4 linked regions of the Saccharomyces cerevisiae S288C genome follow. Changing the gene in region 3 together with the main gene of any one other region gives a genetic interaction. Each region holds a gene or a part of one and is shown on either strand. Other genes may lie near its edges.

Region 1 (2,729 bases), on a different chromosome or scaffold from region 3:
ATAAAATGCTCGTCAAGTGTCAGGATGTCGTCTATAGGTAAATCATTAACATGCTGGTTGAATGATCTTGCCATGGACAAAGACGCAGGTCCCATCCCATCCGTCACGAAGAATATGACATTCTTCTTCTTGTGTGATGCAGAACGTAATGCAAAACTGCTTGGAAATGCCAGTTGCACTAAAACCAGCAACAAACCAATACAGACCACAGTGGATACTATTATCTTTGATCTCTTCGAGATCCGTCTCTTTTTAGGACGAGAGCTCGAGTCAGATCCAGGAACAAGACGTGTCTGTTCGCTTGGTAATGTGTGAGTCATCATGCTGCTAATGCGCGTTCAAATAATGTCCCGTATGCTGATATGTAAATGTTTATGTAGCCACTTGCTGGCAAAATGTGGAGCACGAAAAAATATAAACGTTTAGATACACTTCTTTCTTTATATACTAAAATCCCTTTACTTTTCCTCTACGCGCGAAGCTTATCGCTATCGTCAATGCTGCTATTCATGTCGATGCTGCTCTTCCGTTAGACGCGCCTTACGAGGGGTGTACAAAGAGGACATCCGCTGCTGTTCTTGCCACTCGTTCGTCAGTTTTGCCCTCAACGCTTCACATTTCTTGTCAATCTGCTCTTCCGAGAGCGTTTCTTCCTCCTCCAGTCGGTCCCGTAGCTCGCTAACTTGTACTTCAATCTCACGTTTCTCCATATGAGTCTCTATCTGTTTCTGCACAGCAAGAGGCCTGCTTGCCTTGTCATGGCTGGCCTTTTTGATCGCATTTTGTCGTTGTTGCCGCTGCTGTTGACTACCCTGTGGTCTGCGCCTATTGTTGCTAGCAAGTGATCGCTGCACGTGGCCCGACGTAGATGACCCTTTTGCCGACTTGAGCCCTATTCCGTTGTACGACATGACTGGACGGTGATGCAGTAGCTGTTAACCGTCGAATGGTATTGTGTAGAGCTCAAATTAGGATTACACAGATTATAATACCACACTTATAGTGCCATTCTTGAGGTCTTACTTGATTCTTCCTTGCCTTTACCCGCACGCTTAATATAATTTTTCCTTCTTATCTGCTACGCCTTCTTCTAGTAGGAAAAAAAAAAGAAATTTGGTGAAGAAACAGTCTGAAAAGGAGATAATTTGCGATTTAATTCGTTTATACATTTTATGAATCTATAATACTGGAAGTGATATCCATATTCGCAAGCAGTTCCACTCGAAAGCATGGCCCTCTTTCTCAGTAAGAGACTGTTGAGATTTACCGTCATTGCAGGTGCGGTTATTGTTCTCCTCCTAACATTGAATTCCAACAGTAGAACTCAGCAATATATTCCGAGTTCCATCTCCGCTGCATTTGATTTTACCTCAGGATCTATATCCCCTGAACAACAAGTCATCTCTGAGGAAAATGATGCTAAAAAATTAGAGCAAAGTGCTCTGAATTCAGAGGCAAGCGAAGACTCCGAAGCCATGGATGAAGAATCCAAGGCTCTGAAAGCTGCCGCTGAAAAGGCAGATGCCCCGATCGACACTAAAACAACCATGGATTATATCACTCCATCTTTTGCTAACAAAGCTGGTAAGCCAAAAGCTTGTTACGTCACTTTGGTGAGAAACAAGGAGTTGAAAGGTTTGCTAAGCTCCATTAAATATGTGGAAAACAAAATTAACAAGAAATTCCCATATCCTTGGGTTTTCCTAAACGATGAACCTTTTACTGAAGAATTCAAGGAAGCAGTCACCAAAGCTGTTTCTTCCGAAGTTAAGTTTGGTATTTTGCCCAAGGAACATTGGTCATATCCTGAATGGATTAATCAAACCAAGGCTGCTGAAATTCGTGCAGATGCTGCCACCAAATACATATACGGTGGCTCCGAATCTTATAGACACATGTGTCGTTACCAATCTGGGTTTTTCTGGAGACATGAATTATTAGAAGAGTACGATTGGTACTGGCGTGTGGAACCAGACATCAAGTTATACTGTGATATTAATTACGACGTTTTTAAGTGGATGCAAGAAAACGAAAAAGTTTACGGCTTTACCGTTTCTATTCATGAATATGAAGTGACGATCCCAACACTATGGCAAACGTCCATGGATTTCATCAAAAAGAACCCCGAATACTTAGATGAAAACAACCTGATGAGTTTTCTTTCGAACGATAATGGTAAAACATACAATCTGTGCCATTTCTGGTCAAACTTTGAAATTGCAAACTTGAATTTGTGGAGGTCACCAGCCTACAGAGAGTATTTTGACACTTTGGATCATCAAGGTGGATTTTTCTACGAAAGATGGGGCGATGCTCCCGTTCATTCTATTGCTGCTGCTTTGTTTTTGCCAAAGGATAAAATCCATTATTTTTCAGACATTGGTTACCATCATCCACCTTATGATAACTGCCCATTGGACAAGGAGGTCTATAACAGTAACAACTGTGAATGTGACCAAGGTAATGATTTCACTTTCCAAGGTTACTCTTGTGGTAAGGAATATTATGATGCTCAAGGGTTGGTAAAGCCAAAAAACTGGAAAAAATTCCGTGAGTAGAAATCTTGGAACATACTGTTTCTTTGTTTTGACTTTATACTTTCTATTTATATTTTATTTTTATAACTGGTTAAGTACACATAGGACTGCGTATCAAACATATAAGTGAGGCAATCCACATTTTTTTTAAAGATTCGAATATTTTTATTCTCATTAGCGTATTCCGAGAAT
Region 2 (3,300 bases), on a different chromosome or scaffold from region 3:
AAGATGTATTAGTAAAAGAGAATGAAATCAAAAAAATACAGAATGATTACAAAGAAAGTATCAGTTCTATGGACAGTGCAAGTAAGGCACTAATGGTTTCACAAAGAGAGCTAGAGAAGTACAAGAGTTTGAATAAAAAGTTAATCGACGAGTTAGATGAATTGAAGTTCAAAAATGGCGTCTGCAGTGAAAATTTCGAAAATGGTCTCAGAAGCACCGAGGAGAGTTCCAATAATGTAAAAAATAGCAACAGCATAAGAGAAAATCAATTCAACATCAAAATAAATGATCTGAAAGCGGAACTCTTCATCACTAATCAAGAAAGAGATGACTTGAAAAGTGAAGTGTTAGAGTTGAAAAAGAGATTATTGAATTTGGAAAATAACACCAAACAAGTTAATGAAGATGCTGACAGCGATCTACTATAAAAGACAATATGCGTAATGAAATTTCACTTTTCATGTGTAATAACAATAATAATAATAAACATTGATAATAAACATTAATAATATTAATAGTAATCATAACAATTATAATAATGATATAATATAATAATAACTGTACTCTTGACAAAAATTTATATATCATGGAAGAATAAATGAAGGAGAGAAATAGTAACGTGACAAATAGCTTATGCTAACGATATCAAACTAAATCTCAGGGACTACTAAACTGAAATATGCTCCCATTTGAAGCCTGTCTCTCATACATCAGCGCAGAATAGTCCGATTGCAGTATTTGGGCGGTGCTGGACGAAGATATGGGTCTGATTTCATTTACTTCACTTCGTAGCAATGTAAAGCTAAATTCATCCTCTATTTCATCTCCTGCTTGATCATTCCTCTGTATTAAAGGATCGTCATATAATGTGTCACTATACAGAAGACAGGTATCATTATTATTGCTTTCCACCCTCTTCGGCATGCATACTGGGTCGCCTAAGATAAACGGAAGAGATACTGTTGCAGATTTCTTAAAGGAATTGCTTAAGAGGTACGTTGAAGCTGTTCGTTTTAACCCAGGCTTAGGATAGTTTGTCCATGACATGATACAATTTACTGCCTTATCAAATTCATCTTTATTTATCCTTTTTACGGTCTTGTTATTTAACCCAAATTGAATGCTAACCCTTTCAGTTACAAAGTATTGGTGAAGAAAGTCTTGCGTACATGTGATCTTATTTGTATCTTCCTCCTCGATGGACATGTTGTCCAAGTTGCTGTATGTTCTTTTCTTCAGCAGTTTGTTTTCTTATACAAAAGATATATTTTATTTGGTATAGCGGAAAATAGCCGCCAAATATTGTGCGTCAAAGTTGAAGAAACATAAAGTTTAACACTACTGGTTTATGAAAGAAAAGACTACATTTGTAAGCCTACTCCAAATTGACCTTTGAATAAGTGTGGCTTACTCTATTAGCTAAAGGACATTATCACTCATCACCATGAACATTCAGTAGTAACATAAAAGTCCCTGCCTTGTTTGTGAATGAGGGTCCCTTCCTTTACATTCTACCAACATAGTCTCCTTTTCTTCCATTTATGCCCTAATAATCGATTTTAATTACTTAATGGGTAAGTTTCTCTGACTAGATTAAAAGAAGCGCATCCGAACAAATTGGAATGACCATGCTAAGCTGCCTTTTAAAGAACAAGGGAAAACTTTGATAAAAACACTCAAGTGCACCATATTGTTTGTAGAAGGATATGAAATATACGCAATACCCGAACAGCTCAAAACTGAAAAGAAATAGTGATCGACGTGAACACGACGAAAAGCTTAGCGATGAGTTACATAATCAAAGTACGATATATGAAGATGAAGAGCTAAGCAGGGCAGAATATGATTCTGATTCTGATTCTAGCGTTGAAGATTCTACAGATAATGAAAATAGTGGGAAAGAAATGGATGAAAAATCCTATGAAAAAAATGAAGATCACGTCGAAGACCATAGAAAGCGAAAGAAATCGAAAATTCAGCTTTTGGATATTGCAGAGTTCAAGAAAGAAAACTTAGCCGACTTAGATTATCAGATCGGTAATTCAGAGAGCAAGGTAGAAAAAGGTGTGAATATAGAGCCATTTAATATAGATGACGAAATAAAACATGGGGTATTCGATAAAGATGGGAATTATATTAAGACAGAAAACGCCACAGAAAATGATCAACAAGATAATGAGGAATGGATGAATGATGTCATAAATACAGAGGAGGTAAATCGCTTAGAAAAGGAACAAAGTGTCAAAACGCAGAATTCGAGACATTATATGGTCCACGAAGCATTAAATCTTTTGAAATTTTTTCTTGTTGATGAGAATGAAACAGTACTGGAATCCTTGGGCAGGTTAAACAAGCTGCGAAAAATTGCCATTTCAAAAAAGAACAAATCATTGAAATATGTTATTCACGGAATCGAGCTATTATCTGATTTGATCAATATACTAGAAAAAAAGGGATTCAGTGAAGTATATGAATATAACCGCTTAAAAGTTCAGGATGCTATAGAAGAGGAAATTTTCGATGACTCCTCCAGAATAGTTAACCATAAAACAAAGTTATGGGGCTTCAAGTGGTTGAACAAATTAGATGAATATCACGGCCTGTACACGAACTATGAAATGTCTTATTGGCAAAAATCCTACTTCAAAAACAGTGTTATAGTAAAATTTCACAGCGAACCAGATCGAGATGAAAACTGGATACATGTATCGTGTTTAAGTTTCATGTAAGATATAAAAGTTGAAATTATTCAAGAGAATTGCCTGCGAGACTATATAGTACTAAGTTTATTGTTTGGTCAGATAAATTGATGAATGTTGGATAGGAAATTTTTATCAATCATATCAAAAGATCTGAGTGAGCTGAGAAGGTTATCATCATATAACAAATAAACAGGACTATATTATTGGCAGACAAAAAATGAGTATCACAAGTGTACAAGGAAACCAGGACAGTAAACCTACTGTCGCAAATTTCCTCTATCCACCTGGCGCGTAAGAATCACCTGATAAAGATATCGTTGAAAGCATCGACCTAGACATTTTTAAGCTGCCATAAATTGGGCTGATAAATTTGTGATATTTTTCTCCAACTGTTTATGGTCTCTTATATACTTTGCGAAATTCTAGAAAAACGAAAAGGTGAAAAAAAGAAACCCGGAAAGGGCGAAAAAAAAAAGTACTTAGGGTTAGCACCACAATTATATAAAATGCTATGTATTTTACAATATAATCATGAGCCAAGAAATAAAAAAAGTTCACCCATTCTATTAGACAAGACGGGGTCCTTCTGATTATTGAA
Region 3 (3,199 bases):
TTTTAGTTTGTGTAAAATTAATTTGATAAATAAATGAATGAAAATGATCAATAATAAGCGAATAACTATATTTTTAATTACCTTATTTTTACAATATTTTTCACTTGCACTTTTATTTTATTTTCAGCGCGCAGCTCGTCTTGTTCTGTTGAAATTCAAAGATACCTGAAGGAACATTACAACATCAATCAACACTTGAGTAGAAATATACACGATCCAATAAAATATACTGAAGCGAAGCAATCAGAAATGGATGCAATATCTGATCCAACGTTTAAGCATGCTAGATCAAGAAAACAGGTTACTGAAGAATCACCATCTTTGCTTACCGTTATTATAGAAATTGCACCAAAGTTATGGACAACTTTTGATGAGGAAGGAAATGAGAAAGGAAGTATAATAAAGGTTTTAGAGGCATTGATAGTATTTCTCAATGCTCACTTAGCGTTCAATAGCGCCAACAAAGTAGCAGTCATTGCTGCATACTCTCAGGGAATCAAATATTTATACCCAGAGAGCACATCTGCTCTAAAAGCCTCTGAATCTGAAAATAAAACCCGTAGTGATCTTAAGATTATTAACTCAGATATGTATAGACGTTTTAGAAACGTTGATGAGACGCTAGTGGAAGAAATATATAAACTATTTGAGTTAGAAAAGAAACAAATCGAACAAAATAGTCAAAGGAGCACGCTAGCAGGTGCCATGTCAGCTGGGCTGACTTATGTAAACAGAATATCAAAAGAGTCAGTAACTACCTCATTAAAATCAAGGCTACTTGTTCTTACGTGCGGGAGTGGCAGTAGTAAAGATGAAATTTTCCAATACATCCCTATAATGAACTGTATTTTTTCCGCAACAAAAATGAAATGTCCCATTGATGTCGTAAAGATTGGTGGTTCTAAGGAAAGCACGTTTTTACAGCAAACGACGGATGCCACAAATGGCGTTTATTTACATGTTGAATCTACAGAAGGGCTAATTCAATATTTAGCAACTGCAATGTTTATTGATCCGTCGTTAAGACCTATAATTGTTAAGCCAAACCATGGATCTGTAGATTTTAGGACATCATGCTATTTAACAGGGAGAGTTGTTGCCGTTGGATTCATCTGTTCAGTTTGCCTATGTGTCTTATCAATCATACCGCCCGGAAATAAATGTCCTGCTTGTGATTCTCAATTTGATGAGCACGTAATTGCCAAGTTGAAGAGGAAACCAGTTGTTCCAAGGTTGAAAGCCAAAAAGAAGGTGACGAAACCATGAACGAAAGGAATGAACATTATCCGTTTCAAGCAGGTAACCTTCGTCACAATGCATCGTAATAATACATAAAAAAAAATTAGCTTTAAGCACATGTATATTGGACATTCCACAGAAAAAAAAAAGCTTTTGATGTGATTAGCTTAAGACGTTGTGTCATCTTTGAACTGTTTTGACTTCAATCATATCGAATTTGATAATATAACTATCTATGTACTGTCTGGGTGCATCGCTGTTGTTGCTTCGGTAGATTTATTAGTTCGCTTTGGATAATGTATCATACAATAACATTGCCAACATCCATCATAACAGAAACATTAGGTGATAAACAATGAAAAGAGGAGAAAGCCAGGCGCCTGATGCCATCTTTGGTCAATCTCGTGCATTTGCACTATCTGATTCTTCAGTGAATCCTGATGTCATTGAATATCTTAAAAGTGTTAGGCAAGAAGCACTAAGAACCAACGCCATATCGATTAAGAATCATATGAATCTGCAAAAGAGGACGCGTCACAAATCAAGCATGTACGATGATGAGGATGAGGGGGCCCTTAAAAGGCACGCCATCTCGCCATCCTTGATTAGGCTTCAAAGGAATGTAGAAATATGGGTAAGGTGGTTTAACTCTGTGAAGGCGACGGTGTTGACTAATGCCTACGAGTTTACCGGTTATGAGGACGAAACACTGGATCTTTTATTGCTTTTCTTAAAGAATTATCTCGAAGATATGCCCAGCAAATGTACTACAGTTGAAAAAATTATAAGTGTCCTAAATCAGCATTCCTTTCCTGAGAAGGCAGAAGAGAAGGAAGAAAATCTTCAGATTGATGAGGAATGGGCGAAGAATATTTTGGTACGGCTGGAAAAAACCAAGATTGACAGTGTTGAGGATGTAAAAAAAGTAATCACTGAAGGAGATAAACATGAACTAGTTGGATACAACCAGTGGTTCCAATACCTTATAAACAATGAACCGCAGCATACTACTTTTCATGAAAAGATTACCTCTAAGCAACTTTGGGTTCTGATCAAGTATATGTCGAATACATGGATAAAAGAAATACACAAGAAAGGAAGGCATTATCGTCGGCTGCAAGATTGGCTATTCTACATACTGGTACATACACCCGAAAGAGTCACGGCAGAATATACAAGCATCTTGAGAGATCTTGGAAAGAAATGCCTTGAACTGATTCAAAAGAAGCCAGTTGAAGCACATGAGAATAAAATAACACTCCCGAAGGAGATGGCGGAATTGAATGTTGAGATACCAGCCGCGGTGGAGAATATGACGATAACTGAGCTGACAGTGTCTGTTATAGCAGTGAACTATGGTCAAAAAGACTTGATAGAATAATGTAAATAAATTTCTTATGTAGTTTTTTACAGGAAGTAAAAAGTGTTATTACTTTGATTGACTCATTCTTACATTTACTGATAGGCCGAAGATAAGCGGCGCCCTAAGAAAACTCGAGCGCAAATTGTCAGCGATGATGTAGCCATGCTATAGCATCAATCAATGTCAATAAGCTAATAACAACTATCATCTATACTCCAACGCAGCTCTCTTGTTTAGGTTTCTCGTCAATCAAATTCGCATCACGAAGAAGTATGTCTGAAGAATTTCCATCTCCTCAACTAATCGATGATTTGGAAGAACATCCACAGCATGATAATGCTCGAGTCGTGAAAGATTTGCTTGCAGGTACAGCGGGTGGTATTGCGCAAGTGCTAGTGGGCCAGCCCTTTGATACGACAAAAGTTAGGTTACAAACATCGAGCACCCCAACAACAGCCATGGAAGTCGTCAGAAAGCTGCTTGCCAATGAAGGGCCTCGCGGGTTTTACAAAGGAACTCTGACGCCATTAATTGGTGTTGGTGCATGTGTTTCATTACAATTTGGTGTTAATGAAGCTATGAAGAGATTTTTTCATC
Region 4 (3,018 bases), on a different chromosome or scaffold from region 3:
TGGTTGTTTCATTGACGTTTGATCTGTGCCACTTAATGTTCTTTTCAAAACTATTATCAATACGAATATTGAGACGTAAATGAAAACCCTTCTCACAGATCTAATCATTTTCCTAAGACTCGGGATGATATAGAATTATTAAGGTATTTCCTATCATAAAATCTTTCCCTTTTCGGCGGTTTTGTTTTAAATCTGGATTTCTAAGCAAAGGATTTTCGCTAGTTTTTTTTTTTCAAGTAGCTCGTAAAAAGAAAACGAGAGCTACTCCTGCATGATTCATATAAGATTTGACGAGTGTATAAGATACATTTGTATTGGTGTACATTATGAAATCTATGTAATCTACCTAAGCGTAAAAAGGAGATCTTGCCTTCGATAACTAGTACGGTGGAAGAATTACATTTAATAACGAACGGGACAATATGATATCATAGAAGAAAAAAAAATGAGTCCCGATCACTATTTTACTTCATATCTGCAGCTCGGACATGTTTGAAGATTATAATGCTTGTGATGGTCATTCGAAATAGTGCCTCTTCTAAATGTTTGAATAATTTTCCATAGCTAAAGGTTAAGTTCATCCATTAGTTTCTTTTTTCTTCTTTGCACTAACCAATGCTCCATATCTGCCAGAGTTGGTACATGGATTTCTTGTGTCTGCCTTGACATTTCTTCTTCATCTTCATTCACAGGCACATTATAATGTGCTTTCAAAATGGATGTCCAGTTAGCCTCAAATTCGGTTAAGGCGGCTGTGACTTTGCCATGGTAATAAAAATCATTTCTATCCTTCGGTATGCATTTGGTGTTTATAGAACCCCCATCATTCTGCCTTTGAGACTGCTTGAGCCATTCTTTTACTTCAGGCAATTCCAGGGCTCTTCCAAAATATCTCTTACCATTTATCAGCTTTCCTGAATTCATCAGCACATGACTGTCTTCTAACCTTTTCCTCTTGGTTTTTTTTTCCATAAGTGTATGGTCAATGTGCCACTGCCATCTCTTCCATTCTTTGAAAAGATTATTAAGTTCGTCGTTAAGTTCCGCAATCTGCATTTCATTTAAAGACGGATCATATATTCTTGTGCTTTTTTGTTTTATCTCTTTACTTACTTGTCGCTTCCATTCGTTGGCCTCTTTTATGGATTTTACCTTAGACACGTTCCTGGGCCTCTGGTAACGTGAATAATCCTTGTATCCACCTGCCGACTCTGCTTGCTGCTCTTGAAATCGTACCAGAACTGAGTTGGCCTTATCTACATTTCTACTCATTTTGAATGCACAGGTATCTGATTACTGATGTGGTGCGCCTTGCGATATAACGGTGTGTCACTTTTATTTGCTCTTTCATGCATCCTGAAATTATTTCACCGCACTACGCAAAGAGAACGGAGAAAAAGGTATAATAGGGCAAATGATCATTGACATCGTGATCGTAAGCCAAAAAAAAATACAATAGGCTCCCTAAATAAGTAGAGTAAAAGCTCTTGAGATGAAGGAGAATGACATGAATAATGGCGTAGATAAATGGGTAAATGAGGAAGATGGTCGAAATGATCATCATAACAACAATAATAACTTGATGAAGAAGGCCATGATGAACAATGAGCAAATTGATAGAACTCAGGATATCGACAACGCCAAAGAAATGTTGAGGAAAATATCAAGTGAAAGCAGCTCGCGCAGAAGCTCCCTGTTGAATAAAGATTCATCTCTCGTGAACGGCAATGCAAACAGTGGCGGTGGTACGAGCATTAACGGAACAAGAGGAAGTTCTAAGAGTAGTAATACACACTTTCAGTATGCCTCCACGGCGTATGGTGTAAGAATGTTGAGTAAAGATATATCTAATACCAAAGTGGAACTGGATGTGGAAAATTTGATGATTGTTACGAAACTCAACGATGTCTCACTGTATTTCTTAACAAGAGAGTTGGTAGAATGGGTTTTGGTACATTTTCCACGTGTGACTGTTTATGTGGATTCCGAATTGAAAAACAGCAAAAAATTTGCCGCTGGCGAGTTATGTGAAGATAGTAAATGTAGAGAATCAAGGATCAAGTATTGGACAAAGGATTTCATCAGGGAACATGATGTTTTCTTCGATTTGGTAGTGACTTTGGGTGGCGACGGTACTGTTCTTTTTGTAAGTTCCATTTTTCAGAGACATGTACCACCCGTTATGTCGTTTTCATTAGGGTCTCTAGGATTTTTAACAAATTTTAAGTTTGAACATTTCAGGGAGGATTTACCTCGGATTATGAATCATAAAATCAAGACAAATTTACGGTTGAGGTTGGAGTGCACAATTTATCGTAGACACCGCCCTGAAGTAGACCCAAACACGGGGAAGAAAATATGTGTGGTGGAAAAACTAAGCACACACCACATTTTGAACGAAGTGACCATCGATCGTGGTCCAAGTCCTTTTCTATCCATGTTAGAATTGTATGGTGACGGCTCATTAATGACCGTTGCGCAGGCGGACGGACTGATTGCTGCTACTCCGACTGGGTCCACGGCCTATTCTTTGAGTGCAGGTGGGTCATTGGTATGCCCAACCGTCAATGCAATCGCTTTAACACCCATTTGTCCACATGCATTGAGTTTCAGACCCATCATCTTACCAGAAAGTATAAATTTAAAAGTGAAAGTCTCGATGAAGTCAAGGGCTCCAGCATGGGCGGCTTTTGATGGGAAAGATAGAATTGAATTGCAAAAAGGTGATTTTATAACCATATGCGCCAGCCCATATGCTTTTCCAACCGTGGAAGCCTCGCCCGATGAGTTTATTAACAGTATCAGTCGACAACTAAACTGGAATGTGAGGGAACAACAAAAGTCCTTTACGCATATTTTGTCCCAAAAGAACCAAGAAAAATATGCACATGAGGCGAACAAAGTCAGAAATCAAGCAGAACCTTTAGAGGTAATAAGAGATAAATACTCTCTGGAAGCAGACGCTACTAAGGAAAACAACAACGGAAGCGATGATGAGAGCGACGATGAGAGTGTAAA

What was found.
Region 1: mutations in BRR1 (region 3) and CWC21 together harm fitness more than expected from each alone (negative genetic interaction), as found in Saccharomyces cerevisiae (3 studies listed by BioGRID, with this or other methods).
Region 2: mutations in BRR1 (region 3) and LIN1 together harm fitness more than expected from each alone (negative genetic interaction), as found in Saccharomyces cerevisiae (3 studies listed by BioGRID).
Region 4: mutations in BRR1 (region 3) and ISY1 together harm fitness more than expected from each alone (negative genetic interaction), as found in Saccharomyces cerevisiae (3 studies listed by BioGRID).

The regions. Positions count from the first base shown.
Region 1 is NC_001136.10:1,419,928-1,422,656, forward strand, and holds CWC21 (U2-type spliceosomal complex subunit CWC21), read right to left. Parts: upstream 912-2,729; coding exon 504-911; downstream 1-503. Other genes in the region: alkaline phosphatase PHO8, read right to left, coding at 1-323; alpha-1,2-mannosyltransferase KRE2, read left to right, coding at 1,230-2,558. UniProt on the Saccharomyces cerevisiae protein: Involved in pre-mRNA splicing. May function at or prior to the first catalytic step of splicing at the catalytic center of the spliceosome, together with ISY1. May do so by stabilizing the catalytic center or the position of the RNA substrate.
Region 2 is NC_001140.6:410,813-414,112, reverse strand, and holds LIN1 (U5 snRNP complex subunit LIN1), read left to right. Parts: upstream 1-1,706; coding exon 1,707-2,729; downstream 2,730-3,300. Other genes in the region: KEL1 (Kel1p), read left to right, coding at 1-428; REC104 (Rec104p), read right to left, coding at 658-1,206.
Region 3 is NC_001148.4:670,877-674,075, forward strand, and holds BRR1 (Brr1p), read left to right. Parts: upstream 1-1,594; coding exon 1,595-2,620; downstream 2,621-3,199. Other genes in the region: TFIIH/NER complex subunit TFB4, read left to right, coding at 250-1,266; YMC1 (organic acid transporter), read left to right, coding at 2,875-3,199. UniProt on the Saccharomyces cerevisiae protein: Involved in mRNA splicing. Required for snRNA accumulation and manufacture of snRNPs.
Region 4 is NC_001142.9:526,951-529,968, reverse strand, and holds ISY1 (Isy1p), read right to left. Parts: upstream 1,273-3,018; coding exon 565-1,272; downstream 1-564. Other genes in the region: OSM1 (fumarate reductase), read right to left, coding at 1-108; UTR1 (NADH/NAD(+) kinase), read left to right, coding at 1,493-3,018. UniProt on the Saccharomyces cerevisiae protein: Involved in pre-mRNA splicing and cell cycle control.